3 linked regions of the Drosophila melanogaster genome follow. The protein of the gene in region 3 interacts with the protein of the main gene of each other region in a pairwise test. Each region holds a gene or a part of one and is shown on either strand. Other genes may lie near its edges. The genes, in order: CG4955, pie and CG10616.

Region 1 (3,756 bases), on a different chromosome or scaffold from region 3:
TAGCATATCGTCTCGAGCTCAAGAAAATTGCCCGTCCCTCGCAATCCGTATACCTCGTTTTGCGGTGCGTGTGAAAGCCCAGGCTGGGTCCACAAGTGGCTGCCTTCTTAATCTTCGGCTTATGAGCACAGGTCTTGGTTTTGGATGCACAGCTCTTGGTCTTTGGCTTGGTGGATCTGTGAAAGAAGCCAATGCCACCACCTTTGGTTCTGGAACGGGCTCGATCCCGTGAATGACAGCAGGAACCACTGAGGTTGGTCACCTGCGATATGGCAAACGCAACGAGCAGCAGCCCGAACACAATGGCCACCGCCACCTGAATGTTGCGATCGGCGTTCTTCAGGTCCACCAGCAACTGGACAACATGGTAGCCCAGAGTAATCCAAAATGTTATCGTGCAGATGGCAAAAAAACTAATGGAAGATTACGTAGATTATCATAGAGTTGGAATGATCCAATCCTGGAATATATAAATATATACTCACACTAAAACACCGAGGACCTCCAATAGGAAGGTAATGAAGAAGTTAAGCTGCTCACTTCCGAAATCTGTTCCAAAAGTTCCCCGCTGCCCGGCGCCAACTTGCTTATAGCCGCCACCTTGAGCTCCTCGTAGGGCGCTCTGTACAGGTGGGCCTCCTGATCCCGTTGTCAATATTAATGGACCAGTTCCCATGGTTCCCGGACCTAGAAAGCTTCCGGGATCAACGCCATGGGCCTGACCGCATCCAAAATCACAGCCAGTTCCATAGCCACAGTCCTCATCGCATGCAACGCCCAGACTGCATCGGTTCTGGCCCAAATTAGCGGCGCCCAGACTGATGGCGAATCCCAGGGTGTCTCTGCCGGCAGGTCCAGCGGCAACTTGTTGTTGTCGCGCCGCCCAACCATGGTGGCAGGCTCCCACGCTCCTCTCACTCTCACCCCTGTTGCCATTATTGTAATCCCCGTTGGACATCATGCTGCTATACCTGTTCTGATCGTAGATGGCGTTCGGGGAGAAGTTTATATTGCCAACCATACTTTCGCTTACAGCCACGGGAGTGGTTTCAAAGCGCAGATTGCCCCCTGCGGGCTCATTGGATGTGGTTCTCGCCGAAGAGGTTTGGAACACTTCCACCATTTCCTCCGATATCCGCGTACTGTCCGAATCCCTGGCTTCAGCACTGAAGACCAAGCTAGCGTGTTGTCCATGCACCGCCGATCCCCGGGGACTGGCCGACTCCGGAATGACCATAACCCCCGGATTTACTTCTGACACTTCCGATGCGCCGGATTCTCTTAGTGGTACGATTGGTGCTCCACCTTCTTCTGGATTTTCGGTAACTTGTAGGCTGTGCGGAGCTCTTGCGATGCGAGAAACTCTTCTGAGTCGTTCGCCCAGAAGGGATGTCATGGTTGGTGCTTTATTACCGTCCGGCTGGAGGAGTAACGCTTTGGCGGTGGCAGGCAATGATGAGCCACTGTCTTCCTCTACTCCTCCTCCAACTGAAGAGTTTGATTTGGAGCACACGTATTTACGCGAGGACTTTCGGGGTCTTCGCCTCTCCATTCTGATCTTGGTCCAACTGGAGGAGAAGTGGCAAGCTGTAAAGGTCTAAAGTATACACTATCGATTTCTGGGTCTACAAATATACTGACTAACGGACTGACAAAGGGATAACTAATGTAATTTGAGTTGGGGAAAAGCGGCTACGTTGATCGGTTGAACAACGTATTTATTTTCTTAAGAGAATTAATATTTATTAACATTTATTTCATATGCATTATGTAAAGTTATGTATAAAAATAACCCATAAAACGTTTACTCAACAGAAAGCAACGAGGACGTGGAGTTCATCCGGAACACCACATGGTACATAATGCCGGTCCTGAATCCGGACGGATATGCGTACAGCCACGAGTACGATCGTTTCTGGAAGAAGTCGCGATCTCAGCACCAGACTCCACCTCCCAGTGGCCTCCTCGACTCGGCGATGACATGGCTCCAGCAAAAACGGGGTCCGGATAAGGTCTGCTACGGGGTGGACCTGGACAGAAACTGGCTGTATCATTGGGGCAAACGGGGTAGCTCCAAGGCACCCTGCAATGAGTTCTACGCCGGTCCAGCGCCATTTTCTGAACCGGAAACCAAGGCAGTATCTGAGTTCCTTATGGACTATAGGACGCAGATAAAGGTATGCTTAGAACAATATATAATTTTTATATTAACTCTCTAAAATAGATATATTTTTTGATTTATTAACTTTATTCATTATTTTTGCAGCTTTACATTTCCCTACAGGCCTATGGTCAGGTGATATCCTATCCGGTCAAGGCCAATTCCACTTTCAATTCAGAAAGATTGGATGATTTTCTGGACGTGGCGATGGTGGGTACCGATGGATTGCGCAAAAAGGGTAGTAAGTCCCGATATAAGGTCGACGCATCCAACGATCTAATTGAACAGCGATCGGGTGCGTAATATTTATATTATTTGCTTCGAAGTAGAATATAATAGAGATCTTTATCCGACCTTGCCAATCCTTTGGCTTCCTTGATTTATCCAGGCTGTGCGGACGCTTTTGCCGCCTACGAGATCGGAATTCCCTTCAGCTACACGCTCCAGCTGGCGGACAACGGAGTGCACGGTTATCTGCTGCCCAGCAGCGCCATTGAGCCCACGGCTCGGGATGCCTTTGAGATCATAAGCGGCATGCTGGACTACATATGAGGCTGGGATGCGGAGATCGGATTCCAATCGAAGACGAAGGCAGCAGGGATTTGGGGTGGGGCTACATGTGAATGAGTTTTAGTTCCTTTTAAACGGGCTTTGGTGGCTTGCGTTCCGGAGATCACTAGCCGTATTTCCGGAATACATTCTCCAATACTTTTAGCTGCATTTACGTATCTTATGCATTCGAAATTTTTTTTTTATTTCATATAAATTCCCTTAAGTTGAGATTTCCGTTTAGCATAATAAATATTATTGTTATATGTATGTATATTATAATTAATTATCAGCAATTTTTTTTTGGTAGTTTTAATCCCTTTTAGACTAAATAGTATACTATAATAAAGTCTTATATTTGATCGAGCATTCGATTGCTTCGCTTTCGTATAACATTTTGCATGGATGCCATGTAGGGAGATATTTTCAACGTACAGTATTTCTTAAGTTCTTGCCAAATGTACGCACTGTCTTAGTATTATATGCGGATATAATATAGCGTGCCTTGCCTTTTATAAATTCATTTTCTTAAATATTCGACCGTTCCCCATTTGGATATCTTTTGGGAAGGCAATATGAATAGCTTTAAGTCAATAAAATGGAAATGCAGTCTTAATAACTCGAAATTCGTTCGAGATTGGAAAATTCGTTCCAGCTTTGAAAATATTCGTCTAACCTGACAAAATGCATGTTTTAATAATGCATAAGGTAAACGTTCTAAGTAAGTATTGTTTGAAAAGCAAGAGCATACGGCGAATAACTACAATACTGCCAGCTATGATTAAACTCAGGAACTGGTTACCAAGGCACTGTAGTGGCTCCAAACTTCTGTCCTTCGTCTAGGCGAATCTCTGGGAGACCATGATCTTGGCCGAGAGCTTGGCAAAATTCGTGTGGCACTCGTTGCCGTGGAAATAGAGTCCAATAAGCAGCTTGAACTGGGCTGCTGACATGGGATACGGTTCCTGCGACATGACCACAATGGTGTCGATGCTTTTGCCCGCCTTCTGTTCCGCCAGATTGGCCAGGATTTCGCGGTAATTCAC
Region 2 (3,756 bases), on a different chromosome or scaffold from region 3:
CCGATTTTAGCACAAGTAAAGTATTTGGATCCTCTTTCGGCAGTGACGGTGAGTTGGGAGCTTTCGCCACAGCTTGTTCCTGCGGCTGTGGACAATCGAAAGTTTGTGATACTAGCTGCGTTGAGAAGCTGGCTTCTGGCTGCGGTGAGTGTGGAATCGTGTTTAATGCTGTTTGCTGCGTTAATTCAGGGTTTACGTTTATTGCTGTTGTCTGCGGTAAGTCGGGGATCTCACTTGCTGCTGTTGGCTGCGGTGAGTCGGGGATCTCACTTGCTGCTATTGGCTGTGGTGAGTCGGATGTGTCCCTTCTTGCTATTGGCTGCGGCGAGTGGTTCTCATCGATGGACGTCTTTGGCGACGCCTCTGGCGAATCAGGAATTTCCACTATCATCTCCTCCTGTGGCGGCGATAAGGATAACCTCTCGCTTGTTGCGTTAGATTTCGGTTGGCTGAATATAACCGTGATATTACTACTTCGTTCGCTTTCGTCTTCTTCGGAGAAAACAGGAGTCTGGGTTAAGGATCGAGTTGCAGCATCGGGTCCCAATTTTTGCACATAAAAAGAGCCATCCACCTGGTTGTCGCCGTCAGCATTGGTTTCTTCTGTTGTGCGAGCCGGTCCTTCAGCAATCCTCCTCTCCACGTCCAGGCACATAGAGCACTTGAAATCTGTACGCTCGCGCTTCTTCGGCAGTCGCAGGGCGCCCACCAAGCATTTAAGATGAGCCGAAGTGGCGGCACAAGAACTGCAGCATAGTATCACCCACGATAATCTATTATAAGTTCTACCACTGGGGCACAGGCAGTTGGGCTGGTCGCATTTCAGATTGCGCTCGTGGAGCTCCCTATAGGCGTTCCGTTGCTTCTCCCACGTGGCATCGCGATCGGGCACGAATACCGACTGCAGGCGTATGGAATCCCTGAAACGTTCCGAACGACACCAAATGCAACGCAAGTAATATCCGGAGGTCAGAGCGTACTGACGCATGCATTTCTTATGGGCGAATCCGAGGCGGCAGCAGTCACCGTACACAACGCAATGCAGCTCTACCTTATAGATGGAACTGAAGCAGATGGGGCAAGTGGCGTTCCTCGGCGGATTCGACTGCAGCTGTCGCTTGTAGTCATCCATCGGCCTGCATTTGTAGCAGTAGCTTTTGTATTGGCCGCAGAACTCGAAAACGGCGCGATTCTCCAGGCCGCACTTCAGGTGAAACAATGACCGGCAACGATCGCATTGCAAACTGGCCCCAATCTTATTGCAGTACCAACATTTCCTCTTCTCCGCGGCGGCTGCCTCCTCGCGGATATCGCGAAGCAGAAATCCCAGGATTCCACTGCTATCTCCGCCGCGCTGCGGCAAATGCGTTGAGAGTAGCTGGTGGATTGGATCAGGAAGTTTACATTAGCGGGAGTTCTCTTCATTTCACAACAATCGCACTTACCAGGCAAAAATAGTGCACCTGCAAATTGCGTACAATCATCCATTCGCCAAAGACCAGGTCGTCAGTGTCCGAATATTTGCATATTAAGCATTGCAGCTCCTTGTTATCTTCCATTTGTAAGCTGGCCGCTCAGACTAGTTTTGCTGGACAGATCAACTCGTTTGAGTGCTATTATGAATAATTTTTAAAACTATCAACATGTTTTGCATTCCTTTTTTACTCTATTGGCGGGCAAGGATTTTGAAAAACAATAAATACAACAGCGCCTTATTATACTTCAATTCCACCAAGCACATTTTTGGAAAAGCTCTGTTTCCACTGAGCAACACTCACAATGATCTAATCTGCTTAACTAGCTATATTTTGCGTTAACCCTACTTATAATAAAATTATTTATTTATGTGTAATAATAAATTTTAACGTATTAAAAACTTAACACAATATAAACAAATATTTTGTGATTAATAATTAAATAGCATGATAACCGGAAACATAACTGTGCGTGGTCCGTAGGTTTTATTAGATATGATATGCCATTATGAAAATCATAAGACTATACATTTATAAAGCGATTTCTGAGATTCAAGATTCAAATGCTCGTTTGTATGTTTATAAAATGTGGTGCGTGCATATGCATACATAATGCTGCGACACATCACACGAAATACCTTCAGTATTTTTAATAGCAAAATAATATACAATAATACGCAAAAACTATATCTAACAATTAAGATTCTATTTTCATTTCATCGATTCCACTATTCCGCAGCATTCCTAAACTTGGCGTCGCTATCTAGACGAGCTTTCCAACAACAAAGTTCAGTATATTTAATGTTAAACAAAATAACACAGTTTTGTTAATTGATTGTGAATCACGTATCTCCATTCACCTTCCCCAGTCCGAGAATCGGATTGTTTATAACCGCATTATCATCGAGTGCGTTAAATAGGGCGTAGGCGTACCATCGGACTGGATCCACCTTAAATAATATGGCTGCCGAGATAAAACCAGCTCAGCGGACCAACAATGATCGCTTTAACACCTCCAAAAAGCCGGAATTGCTGAGTAAGCTGGAGGGCAGCAGCGACGATGTGAACGCAGCGATCCTAATTCCGGGCGAAAACGGCGTAATTAGCGTTTCCGATGACAAGTGCGTAGCTGTAGCCCATTAAAAATATACACAAATGGTATGCCTGACATTTTCATGTTTTCCCCAATAGAACCGTTCGCGTTTGGCTAAAACGCGATTCTGGTCAATATTGGCCTAGCATTTGCCAGTATATGCCTTCCGGCTGCACGGCCATCGAGTACGTTTCGGAATCCCGGCACCTGTACGTCGGCCAGGAAAACGGAACGGTCACCCAGTACGCGCTATCCGAAGACTGCAATCGCCTGTCCTTCCTGCGGGATTACTTGTCCCATCAAGCGCGGGTCATGGCCGTGGTCTTCTCGAAAACCCACAAGTGGATACTCTCCGCCGGCAAAGATAAGCAGTTCGCCTATCATTGCACGGAGAGCGGCAAACGGGTGGGCGGATACAACTTTGAGACACCATGCACGGCTCTCCAGTAAGTATGATAAATGGATGGTGAAAGGGGGAAGGGGGTGCGACAGTGGATATGGGATAAGCGGGTCATTTAATTGGATTAAACTGCTTTCTTTGACACGGCAATAAACTGCAATTCTTCACGGCTATGGAATTCATTTAGAATTTGAGAACCTTCTATTGTTAATGACGTGTCAACTGAGTCATTTTATCTACACAAAATTTTGGCATAAATGTGTGCACTGTGCGAAATATTCTATAAGCAACATATAATTAATTATAATCTGCGTTTAGGTTCGACGCTTTGGCCAAGTATGCCTTTGTGGGCGATCATGCTGGACAGATAACAATGCTAAGGTGCGATGTTCAGGGAGTGCAACTAATTACCACTTTCAATGGACATTCGGGTAAACAAGTTACAAATGATATTTAGTAAGCTAATTATATACGAATTGGTTAATTTTTAGCGGAAATCCGGTGCCTCAAATGGGTGGAAGGCCCTCAGCTCTTGTTTAGCGGAGCTTGCGATCAGTCCGTGCTAGTTTGGGATGTTGGTGGCAAACGTGGCACCATTTACGAGCTGCAGGGACATAGGTATCTCCAATCTTAAATAATATTCATAAAATAAGATAGTAATCGGCACTTCTGATTATGTAGCAACAAAGTTTCCGCCCTGTCGTACGCGAATCACACGCAACAACTGATAAGCTGTGGCGAAGATTCAGTAGTGGTTTTTTGGGAAATGAATGCAATGCGGAAAGAGG
Region 3 (3,756 bases):
ACTGTTTCGAGGATTGCAGAATACCTTTGAGGTAATAATGCCGCTCATGTGCAGCGTGCCACTAAATTCGCGCACCTTGATGTCCGTCGGTTTGCTCAGCTGGCATTTCATGGGGAGCACGATGCTCGCCCGGATGGTTTCAGTGCCTCCGATGATTCCTTCGGACGCAAGCCGCGGCAGGGAGTCAGTGGTGTTGCTCGAGGCAGTGGCCGTGCCACCTGTTGTCGATGTCGGTTGCAGCTTGTCCACTTTCGTCTTTTTCTTTTTGATATAGGCCTGCAGATCGATGGTGTCCTCGACAACTTCGTTTTGGAGGAATACTTCACTGGCGAGCAGGTTCTTGCGCACCGACACTATCATACTCTGGAACTGGTCTTCGATGTTGACGCGACGCGAGGAGTCCAGTATGGGCAGCACATCATCGAAATCGTAGCTGCACTCCAGCTGAATCCACTCGAAGGGTTTGTCCACAAACCGGAACTCCATATTGGTGAAAGTGCCGCCGCTATCAAAAGAAATACTCATATTATATTTAGGCTAGGAAAAGTCTGAATGTAATCAAACTACCATATAAACATGAACAATCCTAATGGTTAACTAACACATAAAATGCATTCCAAGAAATAAGAAACACAAGGACAAGGATAGCAAAGAAAGTGATTATTGAACATAGAACATAAGTTATGAAAGTACATAGTTCTCAACTTTTTAGTTACCATATGATGCATTTTATGTTTGCCGTAAAATACGTTTTTTTGCAATGTCTAGTTATAAATTGTAAGCGATTCGTTTGGTGAAAGAAAGAATACACATTGAGACCCGTATCTGTGATCAGGGATTACGTTTCCGATACTCACTTGCCATAGCTGTAGTTCTTGCAGAGCACTTTCTTGTCGGCCAGCGAATACGAGAGGAATACGAAATCAGTCTGTGCAATGTCGGTGGTGTAGACGCCAAACGAGCTGTTGCTTTTCAGGAGCAAACTGGAAAAGTAAGAAAAGAGGTCATTTCAAATGGAGACTCATATCATACTCATATAGTTAGTGACTTACTCGTAAATATCTGAAAACAGCTTTTTGGCATTCTTAAATTCGGCGCTCTGTTCGTTTACTACATCGGATCTTACTGAAGACACAAAGATTCCTGCAAAGATAAATAATTCATTAATAATTAATTCTAGATGGTAAGTCCTAAAGCTTCGCTTACTTTCATCTTAGTTAAGTACCTAAGTTTACATTACTGGTTTCACTACCCATTACTGATAGCTTAAAGATTTATCTATGACGAAAGATCAAAAGTTTCGAATTGACAGATTAAACAGTCAAATTGGGTGGGTTAGCCCATATACAAAACATACAAAAAAAAAGGGTTTGGCTAAATTTCGAATCCACGGGAGGAATACAAGGTCCCCATAAATAATATGCCTTAGCATTATGACTATGATTATTTCTGGGTAGGGCAGATAAAACTGCAGGGGCAGCACGCAAACCCACCGATGACGTCAAAAGATCCGGGACACATTTTGCTGGCGCTCAGCCACTGGGAGGCCAATGCCTGTGAGTTGATGTCCGAGATGGTGAGCCGGACCTCCGACAGGTCCTCCAGATCCGCATCCTCCTCGTTGTTCCTGGCCAGGTGGACCACCACGCTCTTGGTGAGATCCGCTTGCTATTTCAACCGAAGCGGATGAAACCAGGAGAAAGTGGAGATTCAGTTGAGCGGGGGAACCAAACAAAATCTACGTGGCGGATGGCACTTACATGGCCCACGATTATCCCGTACGAGAACTGGTTCTCCTGTGCGCATTTCTCCAGGTACAGCTCGTCGTGTTTGCTCAACAGCACTGTGCGCATCGTGGCTCTGGGGTTTCTGTTTACTTCGTAAATTTAATGTTAACTATATTCGTTCCGAAATGACAAATTTTTAGAGCTGGGTACACCCCCCACGATAGTAGCTGTAATCGAATACTTGCTATCGAGGCTAAATTTCGATAGTGAGCGATAGTGCTAAGCTATTCAAATTTGAATTCAATTGCTATTTATTTTCGGATTTTAAAAATAACGCCACAATCAAGTCCATTGACCTTAATTAAATGGTGTTTGGGAATTTATTTATTTTGAATGTGCCGACTATCGATACGCACCAGCTCTATGAATTGGTGTGACCGAAGGTTATATTTTAAAAGTATGGATTATGAGGTAAATTCTTATCGATATTTAACGAAGTTTATTTAAAAAAGCTTGCCATCTCTAGAAAACTGTTAAATTTAAAAATATATTCGAAATTTTAAAAAGTGTAATTAATAAAACAACATTACCCTTTTTTTTTACTAAGAATAACTACTAAATTTTACATGTTTGTCCAAGATTTATTTAAAAAGTGTTTCAAATACCATGTGCAACATCTAGATAATATAATATATATGTTTAACAGCTCCTGGCGAGGCATTTAAAAAAAAAAATAACATTCAATAACTGTATACGTATAAATACGTAAATATACCTTATTTAAATAACTCCCTGAATGTTTATACAAATTTTATGAGAATAGGCACACTTTACTTTTATCAATTAGAACATGATTGAATAGATTTATTTATTAATTTTAAGAAATTGACAAGCAGTAATTTAAAGAAGACTCTTTGATATAGGGTTGTTTATTATTGAAATGTAATTGCAGTTTACTTTTGATTTTTCTTTACGAATCGATAAAGTCCTTGAGTGTTTATTTTCCTAATCTTTAGACACTCGACTTAGGATATTAAGACTTAATTTACCTCCGCGACTGCAAAGCGATGAAAGTATGTATGTATGTACCCCCGTGGCAGGTTCTTCAATTAAGGCCCCCGGCTCCAGCAGCAACATAATCTCCATCTCCATCTCCCAATTCCGCTGCACTGCATCAGCTGCCGTGGGGCGATTACGCACGACGTCTGGCCGAAGAGCGGACCCCATGAGTACGGATCCGTGCCACCCAAATGGTCAAGTGGCCGGTGGACTATGGCGCGAACGGACGCGATCGGTAATCGAATTAGGTAAACAAACACTCCATAAGGCGGGCGTACGTTGATAATGTGTGCATAAGCAAATAGGAGACCGTATTGGGATTGGAATTGGGATTGGGATTGGGGCTGGAACTCTGCGCTGGACGGATGGATTGGATGGACTGCGATGGATGGGGAGATCTCGAGGAGCGGGTTGCGATTGCGGCGGCGATGACGGGCGAAAAAAAACTAAATGAAATTTCATTTAGGTGGTCGCCAACGGCTGCGGACCATCTGCTTGTGTGAATGCTTGATTGTTGAAGTGCCACTTGATGGGGCGAGGGCGCACGCTACTCGCGGGGATTACACTGGCCAAAATTGGGATCAAATGGTTACGAAATATGTATATACCATATATAACACTATTCCATAGAGACCATTGATTCAACTCTTTAAATATTGCTATAGATCTTGAGTAAACTAGTAAAAAAAAATCGTAAAAAATATTTTTAAAAATTTCAGACTTTAATTAAGAACTCTTACTGTCAAGTTAAGACAAAAAAATGTTGTAAGAAGATAATTCTGTTACTTTAAATTATCCCAGAAAACAATGGAATGAAAAATATCTCAGTGCTGAAAGGTTTCTTTGGTTGCTGAGCAATATGGGTCACCGGTTTACGCAATTTCTTACCGTGCAGCGATCGGTATCCAGATATTATTTACTTAGTAAATTATTCCTGTTCGATTGTTTGCGTTTGCTCTGGATCTCTGGC

The links.
Region 1: the proteins of CG10616 (region 3) and CG4955 interact in a two-hybrid assay, tested with the Drosophila melanogaster proteins (one large-scale study listed by BioGRID).
Region 2: the proteins of CG10616 (region 3) and pie interact in a two-hybrid assay, tested with the Drosophila melanogaster proteins (one large-scale study listed by BioGRID).

The regions. Positions count from the first base shown.
Region 1 is NC_004354.4:17,079,380-17,083,135, reverse strand, and holds the start of CG4955 (uncharacterized protein), read right to left. Parts: upstream 1,690-3,756; 5' UTR 1,553-1,689; coding exon 486-1,552; intron 414-485; coding exon 1-413. Other genes in the region: CG8945 (uncharacterized protein), read left to right, coding at 1,816-2,177, 2,267-2,456, 2,550-2,713; CG4949 (uncharacterized protein), read right to left, coding at 3,550-3,756.
Region 2 is NT_033779.5:10,421,085-10,424,840, forward strand, and holds the start of pie (pineapple eye), read right to left. Parts: upstream 1,697-3,756; 5' UTR 1,560-1,696; coding exon 1,446-1,559; intron 1,379-1,445; coding exon 1-1,378. Other genes in the region: Wdfy2 (WD repeat and FYVE domain containing 2), read left to right, coding at 2,436-2,596, 2,667-3,014, 3,287-3,399, 3,460-3,586, 3,650-3,756. UniProt on the Drosophila melanogaster protein: Required for survival of imaginal disk cells possibly by regulation of cell apoptosis. Required for germline stem cell self-renewal through mediation of BMP signaling.
Region 3 is NT_037436.4:12,469,934-12,473,689, reverse strand, and holds the start of CG10616 (uncharacterized protein), read right to left. Parts: upstream 1,963-3,756; 5' UTR 1,854-1,962; coding exon 1,761-1,853; intron 1,669-1,760; coding exon 1,494-1,668; intron 1,144-1,493; coding exon 1,053-1,143; intron 984-1,052; coding exon 858-983; intron 765-857; coding exon 717-764; intron 506-716; coding exon 1-505. UniProt on the Drosophila melanogaster protein: May play a role in the trafficking of a subset of G-protein coupled receptors.